3 linked regions of the Drosophila melanogaster genome follow. The protein of the gene in region 1 interacts with the protein of each later gene in a pairwise test. Each region holds a gene or a part of one and is shown in the gene's direction. Other genes may lie near its edges.

What was found.
Region 2: the proteins of gudu (region 1) and CG13502 interact in a two-hybrid assay, tested with the Drosophila melanogaster proteins (one large-scale study listed by BioGRID).
Region 3: the proteins of gudu (region 1) and CG2256 interact in a two-hybrid assay, tested with the Drosophila melanogaster proteins (one large-scale study listed by BioGRID).

The regions. Positions count from the first base shown.
Region 1 is NT_033779.5:7,386,711-7,391,732, forward strand, and holds gudu (gudu), read left to right. Parts: upstream 1-1,797; 5' UTR 1,798-1,965; coding exon 1,966-2,582; intron 2,583-2,664; coding exon 2,665-3,916; intron 3,917-3,977; coding exon 3,978-4,118; 3' UTR 4,119-4,192; downstream 4,193-5,022. Other genes in the region: CG5149 (uncharacterized protein), read right to left, coding at 1,265-1,393; CG5160 (uncharacterized protein), read right to left, coding at 4,365-4,793, 4,936-5,022. UniProt on the Drosophila melanogaster protein: Important for spermatogenesis where it may have a role in sperm individualization.
Region 2 is NT_033778.4:22,084,950-22,089,045, reverse strand, and holds CG13502 (uncharacterized protein), read left to right. Parts: upstream 1-1,624; 5' UTR 1,625-1,759; coding exon 1,760-2,317; intron 2,318-2,479; coding exon 2,480-3,154; 3' UTR 3,155-3,264; downstream 3,265-4,096.
Region 3 is NC_004354.4:8,083,424-8,089,481, reverse strand, and holds CG2256 (uncharacterized protein), read left to right. Parts: upstream 1-2,268; 5' UTR 2,269-2,374; coding exon 2,375-2,378; intron 2,379-3,716; exon of another isoform or gene 3,717-4,239; coding exon 4,240-4,606; intron 4,607-4,635; exon of another isoform or gene 4,636-4,686; coding exon 4,687-4,810; exon of another isoform or gene 4,811-4,864; coding exon 4,865-5,224; exon of another isoform or gene 5,225-5,226; intron 5,227-5,279; coding exon 5,280-5,399; 3' UTR 5,400-5,464; downstream 5,465-6,058. Other genes in the region: UbcE2H (ubiquitin conjugating enzyme E2H), read left to right, coding at 1-173.

The DNA.
Region 1 (5,022 bases):
GATACGTAAACATAATTTTCCCGCTGCTGTCAGCAAATTCTTGCAGGGAACGAAGGTCTGGGAAGCGCTGACACAGATTAACCCATTGAAGGACGTACAATGAATAATAATTTGGTTTGACTGAAAACAAAGTCTCTCAAGTTTTATGAAAATAAATACTACTTCAATGTATGTAAAGTTTCAATTTAGAGAGTTTCCGCTTAAATTACTCTATATGAATGCAAGTCTTATAATTTCCTCATTCTAAAAATCAACTATTTCACATGCCATGCTGTAAACGGGTTAAGCATATGGTTTATTTTTAATTCAATTGGGTTTGGCCCTAATTGACGACCCCAGTCATTGAAATCACGACTAATTCGTTAGCAAGCAAATTCAACAAAGCAAAAGACAAACAGTGAAATGCGGCAGCAAACAAATTAGACAAATTATGGACACGTTCGCACTGGCCCAGGAATTATCAATTCGAAACTGATAACGCCCGAGTTGAAGATATCGAATTTTGCTATACCCTAGGAAGCGCTGTGATAATCAAACACGAGCTATAAATAGATGGAAATATTATAAGGAAAAATCATCATCTGGTTACAAACAAACATTTTTTGAGTGGTTGCATTTCCGTCATCTGTGCTGTGATAAAAATAAAACACAAATCTGGGGCCTTGAACCCGCATCGGAAAAATTATAGCATAAATTGTGTATGATCAGATTGATTTAACTAAATGGGTTAAAATAACAATTTTGGAAAGTTACGTGTACATTTAATCTAAATAGGACTGACTAGTTTAGAAAATTACATTTTTAAACAAGTTGAATAATTTACTTTTTATAAACTCTGTTAAATTTCCTGGTTTGCACTTTAAATCGAAAAAGAACTGTATTAAAATAAGGTTTAGAAACTTTGAACTTTTGTATAATGCCGGATAATGTTGCGACTCACTCTCTTATATAACTAAGCTTCTTTTTCGGAACATAGTACTATGATTAACTTCAATGTTTAATCCTCGAAATAGGAGTTAGTGACAACAACAAATTAATGCCCTAAAGGATATACCCATTCAAGTGAAGGGTGGCCATCGCAGCAGGTGGATGGACGGCCGTTTGTCATGCACTCGAAAGTCCCGATTTCTCTTTTTTTGCCGAAGAAAGTTCACTCCGCGCGTCCTTGAACTTGTGACCCTGACCCTTCCGCAAATGCAGAATGCAGTTGCCATTGATTTTCGCAGTGCACACGTGGCACGGTAACTGGATTTACTTGACTTACCACCAATCTGTCTTGGGTCAACTTCTCAAGTGCTCCGCCAGAGGCGTTTTTGTACGCGGATTCCAGCATGCGTAGCTCTTCCGAATTGTAGAGATTATCCGTCTCCCGCTTGCCACTCGCATTTCCCATCTCAGGACACGAAATTCAGTTGGCTGGTGCTACGACGGCTGGTAAACAAACAATGCAGCTGCAGCTGCGGATGATCGCGGATTTTAATTGAAAATAAAAAACAAACAACACAAGCTGGTGATGGAATGGCAGTCGATTTCCCTGCGATACCCTCGATAGTTTCGGAAACGGGTAAATTTCGCGGTGGTCGTCTGCACTATGAATGGTTATTGTCTGTGCTAAGTCAGGTCGATGTATTTGCTAAACGGTTAATTTTAACCGCTAAGCGAATTCAACGAAGGCCAAGCGAATAAAATAAATTTTAAATGCCTTGGATAGCTGTAGTTAAAAATTTATTAAAATAAAAAAAAACTTACAAGTTTGAGCTAAGATACCTTTGCCCTAGCCCGGTATTTTTGAAATTATCTCAGTTACCTTAGCAACACGCCTTATTAAATCAATTGCCTGGCCTAATAAAGTTCTCCCACACAAAAACACAATAAATTCCGATACAAAACTGAAGAAAGCTGGCATACCGACAGATATTTCCGGAATACGATTGGCCAAATCTGTGAGTAATCCAACGCGAAAGGATGATTGGCACTAGCAGCGGAACGTCCCACAATCGGAGTCGAAAGAAGAAAGAACAGTGCGGATCCTGTCCCAACAGATTCTCAAAGGATAAGCGCCAGGTGGCCGCCGAGGACTCGGATACCACGGAGGTGGAATCGTCTACGGATGAGGAGGAACGCTGGAAGGAAGTGGCGCGAGCCGCTGAGATTCCGGCTGACTATTATAATATCCAAAAACTGGTGAAATACATCAAGGCGGGCAATCAGACAGCCACTATAGTATCGTTGTGCTGCTTGAAGGACTACGATCTGAGCACCCAGATCAATCAGTTCGCCATCTCGGACATCGGCGGACTCGATGTCTTGGTTAACATCCTGGAGTGCAGCGACACCAAGTGCTGTTTGGGCGCCCTCAAAGTTCTCTCAGATATCACACTGAACATCGATATTAGGAAGACCATCGTAGATCTGGATGGCATTCCCCTCATTGTGGACATCCTAAACTCTTCCATGAAGGACCTAAAAACCATGGCCGCCGAGACATTGGCCAATGTGTGCAAGGTGCGACTGGCCAGAAAGTATGTGCGCACCTGCGGAGGAATCCCCAAGCTGGTGGATCTCATCGACATCAAGTTGAGGTGAGTTGGCATTGGATAAAGTGCTTCATACTACATCACCACATATAAGAAATAATTAAAAAAAAACCTAATTATATTATAGCATTCTAAAGACGCCTCGTGACCAATTGAGTCCAGATGATCTGGAATCTCTCGATATGACACGCGCTGGAGCCCGGGCTCTTTTCACTCTGGCCGATTCCAAGCACAACATGGAGCAGATGCGCAAGAGCGGAATTGTTCCTTTGATGGCTCAGCTCCTTAAGTCCTGTCACATCGATGTCGTCATTCCCATAATGGGCACCGTTCGAAAGTGCTCCTCGGAGCCGAAGTTCCAACTGGCCATCACCACCGAGGGCATGATTCCCGACATTGTGAGCCATCTGAGTTCCGAAAATACCGAGCTGAAGATGGAGGGCAGTACAGCGATCTACAAGTGCGCCTTCGACGGAACCACCAGGGATTTGGTGAGGGAGGCTGGGGGCTTGGAACCTTTGGTAACTATCATAAAGGACAAGAATGTGAGGGAAAATAAGCCTTTATTGAGAGGCGCCACTGGAGCGATTTGGATGTGTGCCGTAACCGATGCAAATGTCAAAGTGCTGGATCAACTCAGGACGGTGAACCACCTGGTGGCCTTGCTAAATGATGAGTGTGACGAGGTCCTGACCAACGTGACCGGAGCTATATCTGAATGTGTGAGATTTCAAAGCAATAGGGAGCAACTGCGTCAGGCTGGAGGATTACCAGCAATGGTTTCCCTACTCAACAGTTCTCACGCCCCTCTTCTGGAAAATTTAGCCAAGGGATTGAAGGAGTGTGCCGAAGATCCGGACAGCATGAGAATCCTTGAGGATCTGGATGCGGTCAGGCTGATATGGTCGCTATTGAAGAACCCCACAACTAGGGTTCAGGCCCATGCGGCTTACGCCATATGTCCCTGTGTTCGAAATGCCAACGATTCCGCTGAATTGGTCAGGAGCTTGGTTGGCGCCATGGAACTGGTGGTGGGTCTGCTAAAGTCCAAGGATATCATGGTCTTATCCGCCGTTTGTGCTGCCATTGCAACAATTGCCCAGGATCAAACCAATCTAGCCATCTTAACCGATCTGAAAGTCATCTACAAGCTAGCCGATCTCGTCCAGACCACCGACGACCTCCTTCGAATGAACTTGGCAGCTGCCGTGGCCGCCTGTGCCTGCTTCGGTAATAATACGGAGGAACTGGGACGTCTGCGTACTGTCACTCCGATTGTCACCTACATGACCAGCGACAATCCCTTGGTGCACCGCAGCACGGCCATGGCACTGGAGAAGCTATCGATGGATCCGCAGAACTGCATTACCATGCACCAGGTACATTTCTTCTACCTAATCACACTTAGCAACTCATTTAGATTCTTTTATTTTACTTCAGAGTGGAGTTGTTCCTTTCCTGCTGGAGTGCATTGGATCCACTAACAAGGAGCTCCAGTTGGCCGCCGCTGGTTGTCTGCGCAATATCCGCGAATTGGCCTTGCGTGCCGAGGAATATCTGCTTAAAATCGACGATGACTAGCTTCCTGTTTTTTTTTCTTTGTTAAGTTATTTAATTGTATTTGACGAAATATATGTGTGTATGCCGATGCTACCAATTTCTTGCATTTTTAGCAAATAAATTAATAAGTTAGTAAATTTTTAAACCAGAAATCCCAGAAAAATATGTTTCATTTTCCATGACAATAACATCTAGCTATATAATTATATATTTGTCGCTACATATTTTGACTAACTAAGCTCGACCCACCCTGCATAAAATTCCACTCTAGTAACTGGCATTACTGCCCCTGGTGGAAATGCTCATCCGTCGCTCCACGCGATTCGTGTGTGGCAGCAGGCATCCCGGCGGTGGATACCGCCATCTACGTGGTCGGGACAACAGGGTGCCGTCCGTCGAAGCTCTACTACGGAAGGGAGCATCGATGTCGCTGCGTGAGCTGCTCAAACTGCTACTCGTAATCTCATCCGTAGACTCCGTATGGTCACCGTTGCTCTCCTCCAAACAGGCGCTTCCGATGACCAGAAAGGAATGTCGACCGACGCCCAAAGACGAGGCATCGTAGAAGGAACAGGATCCCGAATCGGGCGTGAGGATTCCATCCGTATTGGCCACATCGCTGGTGGAGCGCTTGAGCTTGGGGAATTTGCTGAAGACTCGCCAGAAGCGAAACACATCGCGAAAAACATTCTGCACCTGGTTGGAATGAGTGAATAAACAAATCGTATATTTATAAGGTGCCATGTGATGGTAAATGGAAGATTAATTTATCAGACAAAAGTTTAATTTCACTTCACCTTAATAAAGAAATCTTTTGTAAGAAAATTTTTCCTCTTACTTGATCCACGCTCTCTCTGACGGAAATCTCGTGAAAACAGGAGCAGGATAACTCCCTGAATCGGCGCTGACCCTCTTCCAAGCTGAC
Region 2 (4,096 bases), on another chromosome or scaffold:
AAACAAATAATTTTCTGTTATTAAAGTCACAGCTGATGACAAAATGAATCAGCTAGTAGATGTTTCATAACAAAAACTAATATTTTGTGGTATCCAAAGGATATTGTGGCTTTTCAGAATGCTCAGAAGGGTTTGTTGAGATATTAATGAAACTTTATTGAAGTTTATTGCTGCTTGTCAGCGCATGTAAACTGGTATACAAAGTAAAGAAAAGCCGGAACCCCTGAGTTGCAGCTTGTGATGGGGTGCCTTTTCCATGGATTGGGGGTCTAGAAGCGAGCCAAGTTGGGTCAAATGCAAAGTGAAGGCACATAATTCAGTTGCTCAACGACAACCGTCGCGTTCAGACGTCAATTTTAGACTACGGAGTGAAGAAGTCACAGGCTTGAAGGGTGAAAAATGTGAAACTACTACGATACACCATCTCAATAAGCCACTATAACTACTTAACAATACCGAATTTAAAATGCCGCGCAAGAAACCGAAGGTCGATACTCTCGAGGAGATCGAGACCAATATTAAACTGCTATGCGATCAATCCAATAACCACATGAAGGTTCGGGCCTACGAGAAGGCTTTGTTTGGATACAACCAGGTGTGTTGGGAAACTTACTAGCCACAGTTAAGACTAGGCAGAATTATTTCCATCAAATAATAAAGTGCAATTGGGAATACCATCTCCGAATTGCACTATAAATAATGTTTGATAAACTTTACACAAAGTGAATCATTTAAATTAGACACAGTTGAGGATATTTGAAACGGGTTTTATCGCATTTAAAAAATATGTAATTAAGATAAAAGTAATCTATGTACTTTTATTTAATTTCATAATTTTCGAAAAGTACATAAAAACGAAGGCGGTGATATTTTATGTGTTTCATTTTCACTTTTAAGCATTTAATGCTTTGTTCGTGAAGAAGGATAATCACTTAGCGGGAAAGGACATCCGCTAAAAGCTCCTGAAAGCTTCGCACAGGTTTTAGTTCACAACAAAGGAGCACAGTTTGACATTCTTAACGTAGTTGAACAAGCACCTGTAGAGTAACACCATATAGAAACACTATAGAAAGGCTTTTTTTATAGCCAAGATTGTTCAAGTGTTTAATGATAAGTTTTAGTTTACATTAAGGTTTTTTTGTTACATTTTTTTATATTACTCATACGACACGTATGCCAATTTATTCCTCTATGCTAGCAAACAAAAAACGTATTGAGAAAAGATACCGTTGATAGTTTTAGTGTTATAAAGGAGCTACTTTAATATGCGTAATTTTAAGGAAATTAAAGTCCCCCTCAAAACATATCAAGAAAGTTACTCATACGCCCCGTAAGCCAGTCATGGTTAACAAAATCCCAACTCGATTCCTTAAGCATTAACCAAAAAATTAGTTTAAAATATGATAATCTCGAGGACCACTGAGAAAAGAGGATAGATCGGAGTGGATATGCATTCTCACCTTCTAATAGGGCGTCCCCAAGGTCGTGACCCACATGGAGGCCATTGTTCTTGGCATTCACACCGCCAAACGACACGACACCTGGTGCCTGACACCTGATATGTAGCACCTGGCACAGCACGAGTGGTTGTTTTGTTATCGATTGCTAACCCATTTGGTGGCGCCAGTTTCCTGGCAACAACCCATTATAGCGCCAATCAATTGGCTAGTGATTTGGTCAGAAGTTGAGTTTTTTGGATTACTCCAATCGTCGGACGTTGAAGATTCTTCCCAGCGATTGCCAAGGGTATTATAAGGATATGTCGAACGTGCTGAACACCATTCTTGCTGTGGACAAGGAGCAGGAACTGCTGCAAAGCTTCATACGCACCGGAGCAGCGGCTGAGGAGGAGTCACAGGATGAGACCAATCGGCGGTCCAAGGGTCGCTCCCACAAGCCTCCCATCTGGGAGAGGCGCGAGTCCACTGATCGGGGCGGACGCGGTGCTGGACGGGATGGAAAGCAGGGGGATGACGGAGGAGCTGGGGGAGGAGCAGGAGGCGACGCTGCGGGCGGCAAGCGGGGCAATCGCATTGAGGCCGAACTTAGGGCGGCACGCAAAAAGATCGAGGAGCAGATCGCCAAGAAGAAGAAGCCCAAGGAGAACTTCGTCGACTTCTACACGGACAAAGATCGGGCGGCAGCGGTCAGCGCTGGTGCATTTGACATCAAGCAGAGTCTCCAGATCAAGCAGAAGCAGGACCGCAACGAGGCACTGCTCATCCCGGACGAGGCGGACATCAGTTCGGTGATCGCACTGGGGCTCAAGGAGATCAAGAATGCCAATCCCGAGAACGCCATACACTTTTTTTGCAAGGTGCTCCTGGTTTCATTATTGGAACTGTTCAGATTTCAGAGTCATCTAGTTAAGCAGGTTTTCTCTTTTTAATAGAATCTATACCGCTGTTAAGTCCCGTTTAGTTTTCTAAGATCTGCCATAACATATTAAAAACTAGCTAACAAAACCTTAAAATTTCAGGCTCTTGAGCTGAATAGCACCGACATCAATGCTTTGATTTCGCGTAGCAAGTGCTACTTGTTGCTGGGCGAGGCTTCCAAGGCACTGCAGGATGCGGAGACGGCTCTTGGAGAGGACAAGAACAACATTCGGGCCATCTACCAGAAGGCTGAGTCGCTGTACTACCTCGGTCAGTTCGAGCAGAGCCTGATGTTCTTCCATCGCGGTCTGAGGGCTCGTCCGGAACTGGCTTTGTTTCGCCTGGGCGTTCAGAAAACGCAGGAGGCCATCGAGAACACCATCGGCAGCAAGCCGGGTCCACCAGGACCAACAGCATCTGTTCCCAAGAGCGGAAAGTCACGGAAGTCCGGCGAGGATACACCTAAATCCCAGGCAGCGGGAGCAACGGGGACCAGTGCCAGGACGCGGCAGAAACCCAGTCGAGCGGATCTGGAACGACGCAACGCCCGCAAGCTGCTGGGCGAACTGTGCGTGGACAAGGAGTACTTGGAGAAGTTGCTGCTCCATCCGGATTTGGTCCGCGCGGACACACACACGGAGAGCATCTCCGCGTACGCCCGCGAGGCGGTGGAGTTTCTCAACAAACGGCAGGAGTTCTGGCGCCAACAGCGTCCCTGCACGGCGCTGCCCAACCATAAGAACCTGCCCCATGACGCTCTGCCCAAATGGTTCTAGTCCATCCAGCTGCCCAATACTACTGACTTGTTCAGCTCCCGGTGTTAAGTTTCTGTTTGAATTGAGTTGGCTTGATAAGCTGGTATTGAATAAATAAATCAATTAATTACGAAAACTCTCAGGTAATTTTACTTGACTCTTGTATTGAGTTTTATTAACTTCCAATGCATTTTGCGAATATTCACTTGGAGCAGCGACTACGACGGTCCAACTTTTTTATTTTGTAGTATGCTACTTGGTTAATCTTAGGCGTAACTTCAACTTTTGAACAGAGCAATTGGAATTTCTCAATTACATTGATATATATTTGTAGTCAACTGAAACAGAAATCCGGATGTAGCCTCAAATTGACGGAATACAACGATAGTTTAACAATGTGGAATAATATGTAATTTATCTCAATAGTTGTTCAATAACAATGGATACATGTGTTTGGGTGTGTCGCTCGAATCGGAATCTTTTACAGAGTTCTATTGCTTCTTCAGTTTTTATAACTTTACTTCATAATTTGACTAGTACGGCTATAATTTATTTAAACATTACATTTATGCAGATTAGTGTAATACTTTGTCGCCCATATACTTCATTATATTCATTCTTCGCCCTCGGCAAATCCGGTGCAATTGGGTTGAGTACGTCTGGCCAGTAAGTAAAAAAAAAAAAAAGAGAGTACCGGAGTGGGGTAGTTTGGGCTTTAGCTATGTGGAACTTATTTGTTTACTTTAAATTCAGTTTGATTCCGGCTAGAAACTATCGAAACAAACAAACAGGTAGTAACATAGATTCCATGCGAAGTGCGGATATTGCCAGGAGTTCTCCTCCAGAGTGGCCCAATATATTCGAGTATATATAACATTAAATACAGCGATTCGGAATGCAATCGGAGTGCAAGACAGCGAGCTGTAAATATAGCCATTATATGATTAGTTGCGGATTACGCTT
Region 3 (6,058 bases), on another chromosome or scaffold:
CCGCATTGTACCTGCACGAGCCGGAGGAGTATCATCGCAAGGTGGCCGACTATGTGCAGCGCTATGCCACCGAGGACGCGTTGCGGGCGGCGCAGCAGGAGCGGGAGAGCAGCGACAGCGAGTCGAGCATGTCCGACTACAGTGAGGATGAGGCCAGGGACATGGAATTATAATATCGGTTGGACCGCCAGCCTACGGAACTACCGCTAACACTAACACTGACAACAGCCTAATACAAATGCTTCGAGAATCCATTTTCCTGCCACCCAATTTCCCCAAACAAACACACTCACTTATACTTTCACCATACCCCTTCAGTTGGCGATGGAACAAAAAGCAACAATATATATATATATATATCTATATATATATATACATAATTGATAAATGATAATTGGATTTTAAGATAGAAAGTGATTCGATGATGGCGTGTGATGATCAGCGCACACACGCAGATACATATAAATATATACATAATATATATATATATATACACTAATGTAAGCAGAAAGAAAAACAAGATTTAAAAACTCTTAGTTTAGCCATCAGTAGCTGATAACAAAACGGATTGGAGCAACGATCGCAACAGATCATAGCAGATATATAGACCACAGTAACAAAAAAAAAATGGAACGGATGGAAGAGCAAAATAGAAACAAACAGAATAGAAACACAAACAAACAAACAAACAAAACCGATAAAATACAGATAGCAGAGATAAAAGCATAGATGCAAGCGCAATTTAAATGGTTATAGTAAGTGCACATGCAATGCGAAATTTGACGAGAAATTGCTTTGGCCTTGATCTGGCATTAAACAGACTTCGATGCTCGTCGTTCTTTAGAGTTTAACAAGTTGATAGAAAACGTAAACACAAATACCACCATCAAACATAAGTTTTTGGAATGCCCTCACCACATATAAATACCACACGACGATAACCCAATTATCCAATTTGCAATCCAGAGGAACGGAAACCTTAGAACGATCGATCGATCAGCAAAACTGCGGATTATTATTTGTTCTTATGTAATAGTGTGTACTTTATATGTTTGTCTTGTTTTTGTTCCGTTTAATTGTAAGCGCGAATTTTTTTTTATTGTCTGTATATGTGTATTAAGATATTTGGAAACCGCAGAAAATCATCAGACTTAGCAGCACTTTCTCTGCCGAAAAGTAAAAAAAATATATATCAAAAGGTGAATACGATCGATACTAAATGAAATGAAATAGAAAGCCAAGACAAATCCTAGAGGAAAGGCATGGAGGCGATTGCGTGGAACAGACGGAATAATCGTTGCAGTTCTTTTTCTTGTTAATTAATCTTATTATACGGTTATTATGTAATATTTTAAAATAGGATTCGAATTGATCGTGTAATTAAATGCAATAATTCTTATGTCTAACTTATGTCACCCGTGTTTAAGCCAAAAGCATATATTTTTTTATTATAATACATTTTGTCTTTACACCACATTTACTACATGATTTATTGTTCTCTCTCTCTCTCTCTCTCTCTCTTAGTCATCTCTCTCCCTCGTTCTCGCTTTTTAAAATTGTTAATCAAATTGGAGAAATGGAGAATTGGAGAACATCCGGTGGGTTGGAATTTTGATGAGGATGTGATTTTTAGAAGGCGGGTTCTTAAGTGAAATCAAATGAAAGTGCAGATATATAGACATTAGCGATCTACTGTACTATGTACTAACACTATAACAATACTTATGCCTAAGTCTAACAGCAGAATTAATGAGTAATCTGATAGTTGTATATAAGTGACACACACACACACACTCAACATACATATATAAATATATATATATATATATATGCCGATATCTATCAGGATACACAATAATTAAAACGTAATTCAAGCAATCGAAGTCAGATGGAAATAAAACCCCATGGACGAGAGTGGGACAAAAAATGAGTAAAAATAGTAAAGAAATATAAAAAAAAAAAATTAAAAAAAAACATGTTACAAACAAGTGAAATCTAACAAATAAAAAAAGGAAACAAAAGAAAAGAAAAGAAAGTTACGCCCGTTTCTTGGCCTTGTTTTGTCAATAGTTGTTGGTTCTTCGCCTGGCACCGCCCCATATATCCTCCAATGGGCCAAGCTTTCTCCTTGGCTTCTTGGCTCCACTGCTCCCTACCTAGTCCAACTGACAATGCCTGCGGGTTTGTCAACGCCTTGGAAACTGATGGAAAGTGCCACGTTTGTTGATTCCTTCAGCGCCTTTTTACCTTTTGTTGTGGCCCAAGGGCCGAGGGACACGGTTTAACGCTCCTGCGTGGAGTTAATCGGGCAATCAAAACAACAACAACAACAACAACAGCAGCAGCAGCTAAAGCGCCCAGAAGCCAGCGAAACATGGGTATCTACTTTAAAGATCTATCAAACAAAAACCAACAACATTCCGTGTCTCTCTCTCTCTGTGAGTGTGTGTGTGTGTACTCGTCGCTTTTGTGTCTGTGTGTGTGTGGAGTAATTACTCCTGGCGTTTCGACAATTGCCATAGCATACTTTGCAGCGCGCCCCCAACAAAGTGCCCCATTCTGCGAAATAGTTGAACGCAAGTTGTTTGTCGGCACTGCAGGCGAAATTCCATTTGAGGTTTAAAAAAAAAACAAAATAACGGTGGAGTGAGTGGGATGTCTCCTCAAAAGGTCCTCAAGTCCATTGAAATTCCACGAATGAGGCTATAAAATGGGTGGCCCGTCCACAGGCACGTCCATCTGTGATGTAATCCTTGCATATTTACATACATTGCGTCCACATGGAAAAGCCGATATTTTCCTACCAACTGGCCTGCAATGCAATGTATCAGTAAAAATCAATAGAAAATATTTATTTATGCAATGCCTTAAGAACGGTGTCAGTTTTTTTTGTATACATATACCAGCAATTCGATTCATAACATAACCCATTGTATATGGTTTATGGGCTCACTTATTATTCATCTCCAGTTTCTGATTGATTTAAAAATGAGTTTCAAATTACTTCTCAATAGAATCCGTGTCCATGCCCGGAGTAGATGATGCCTTCGCTTGGCTTGCAAATCGCGACTGAGGCATTTCTAGGGATTGGCCAAAAGAACAGGCGAGGAACAAGCTCGTCCAGAAGGTCCTTTGTCATATGTAATTGGGGATATATGTTGCAGTTATTTGAGCGGAGGCGTCGGGTGCAACCCGTTGATGGACTGCCAGGTCCAAAGATGTTTGATTTAGTTGCCCCATCAGAGGTGGTCGCTCAAGTTTGGGTGTGGGTTTGGGTTTGGGCTTGATCCCATGTTGCAGGTTTTGTGTGGCAACCGGGCAACCGATATCAACAAATTACACGAAACTGTATGCCGTACATACATGGTATCGGGGGTCTAGACAAACGGTTCTCGGTGGCCCGAACCCAACACGCTTCCCCGTTTCCACATCCACTTTCATTGCCATTCCCAAAAACTCAGTTCCCCCCCTCCCCAAGTGGAGCAAATGAAAATGCTAATAAAATTATAGTGTCTGGGGCGCAGATGGATAGACATAGACATAGACAGACGGGACCCCATATGTTGCTCCTTCACTTATATGGGTAATCACAAGATAATAACATTTTTTCTCAAAGGAGACACGAAACAACAAAGCGGAGAAGGGAGGACTTCGGTGGCAGAGTAGATTGAAATCAAAGTGAGCAGAACAGTAAATGAGTGCACTTAGACAAAAAAGAAGTATCAATCAGTATCACTGAATGGGATTGTGTACATATAATATCTATAATATTAGTCCAATCGTTATGAATTTATGTGAGATATGGTAAGATACTTTGGATTGTAAATCTCATAAGCATATGAGGTTTGTATACCAGATGGGGTGCAGTTAAGTTCTCAGCTTTTGGTTTCGCTCAGTGTATTTCGAATCGAAATAGCCGGCTAAAACAATTTATGAGCCGAATGTGAACGCTATTACCCATTTGAATGGGCCGCGAATGGGGTGAATGGGGGTATGGGAATGGTTTTGATTCTGGCGAGGCGCATTTGCATTTCAGGCCTTTTGTTTGCTCTGCTCCACATCCACACACTTGAAGGGCCTTTGCTGGCTAAGCTCGCCAAGGAGGAGGAGTTTATTTCGGCGCCAGGAGTTTTGGGGGTGAGCGTGTCGACTTTGACACATAAAGCAGCAGCAGGCCAACACAAAGACAGAGACACGCACCCATGTAAAGCTGAACCTTATTTTTTTTTTGGGTTGCAGGAAAGGCGGGCGCTGGCAAGGGTCGTTCGCCAACACCGACACCCAATCGGGATGGCGGGGCAACGGCTGGTGCTGGCAGTGGTGGAGGCGGTGGTGGTGGTGGTGGTGGTGTTGCAGCGGCACCCACAGCAACTGGCGGCACCACTGGCGTTGGTAGATCCACACTACATGCCAACAAAACGATACTGAAAACGGTATCCGTGTTCCTTGCCAGCGGCAAGCGCAACTCGAGCAACCAACAGTCGAAGGCCGCCGCGGCTGCTTTGCAGAACAAACGGCAACAGCGGCAACGGAGGATGGATGAGTTGAGCGGCAAAGTGAATCCCAAGCTGTTGGACAGCCTGCGAAAGAAGACGCGGTTTACGAAGTGAGTGAATTACATACAAACATACATACATAATTTGGAGTACGATGATGAACTGTATGTGCCACTTGGCGCCCGAATAGGGACGAGCTGGATGCGTTGTGCCGCATCTATCGCAAGCTGGTATCAAATTGTCAATATGCGGCCAAGACGCTGGCCTCCAGCTCCTCGAGCGCAGCTATTGCCAAGCCACATGCTGCCGTGGAGGTAACTATGAACAGATCCTGTCAAGAAATGGTGTTTCAGCGCCACTCTTCGTAGGGCATCGATCGCATTGTGTTCCGCGAGCTGTTGCACAGCACTTTCGACATCGTCACCGAGGAGATCCTGATGGAGCGCATCTTCTGCAGCTGGGACAAGGCCCACGAGGGTTTGCCCCTTCGCCTCGAGGGCTGGCTCATTGGACTTTCAACATTCCTGCGCGGCACGCCGGCGGAACGGGCGGCTTTTTGCTTCCGGGTTTACGACCTGAACACGGATGGCTTCATCACCAAGGATGAAATGTTTACGCTGCTGCGAAATTGCCTGATAAAACAACCGCAGGACGAAGATCCCGACGAGGGCGTCAAGGATCTGGTGGAGATTGTGCTCAAGAAGTTCGACCTGGACAAGGACGGCAAGGTGAATGGATTGGTGGTGGTATAATTCCTTACAGATATAATGATTTGGTTTTCAGGTCTCCCTGGAGGATTTTATGGGCACGGTCACCGCGGAACCATTGCTAATCGAGGCATTTGGCCAGTGTCTGCCCACAGATAGCGCTGTGGTTTCCTTCTTCTCCACGCTGCAGGTGTGATCAGCATCCAAATATCTTTGAATTTGTTATATTAATGTAATTAATAAAATTTTAATCAATAATTTATGCATAATATACATATATTTCGGTCTTTAATGGTGCAGTACATTAGTACATTTATCATCAGACGTTTAGTTATGAATGCCAATACTTTGCACGATCGATAGCGTGGAACTTGTTTATGCATCCCACCTGAACTGGTGATCCCTACAAATAGCCAGACTTAAAGCGGGTCCGATTCGCGAATGCTGTTAAGACTAATTGCGTTGGCTAGTTGACTTAGTGGTGACCCCGACCCACGACAGGGGTGCAATTTGCAGTCGCAAATCTGTAATTGGCACGTATCCACATTGGGATCATTCCCCAGATGAAGGTGCGAATTGAGATGGATGCCGCGGATGAGTCGCCAAGGCGTCATATTTATGCAAGCCTCGGGTGAAACAATAAGCCAGTCAGTTAGACAGTCAGCCAGTCAGTCAATCAGTCAGTTAGTCAGTTAGTCAGTTAGTCAGCTAGTCAGCTAGTCAACCGGTCTGGTTATGCGAGCTAATTTATTCGATTAGCCAGTCGCATCCACAGCAGAACAACTATAGCCGCATAGATACAGATACACAAGCCCGCCCGACTAGCGAATTGTCACGAATCTTGTTCATCTATTG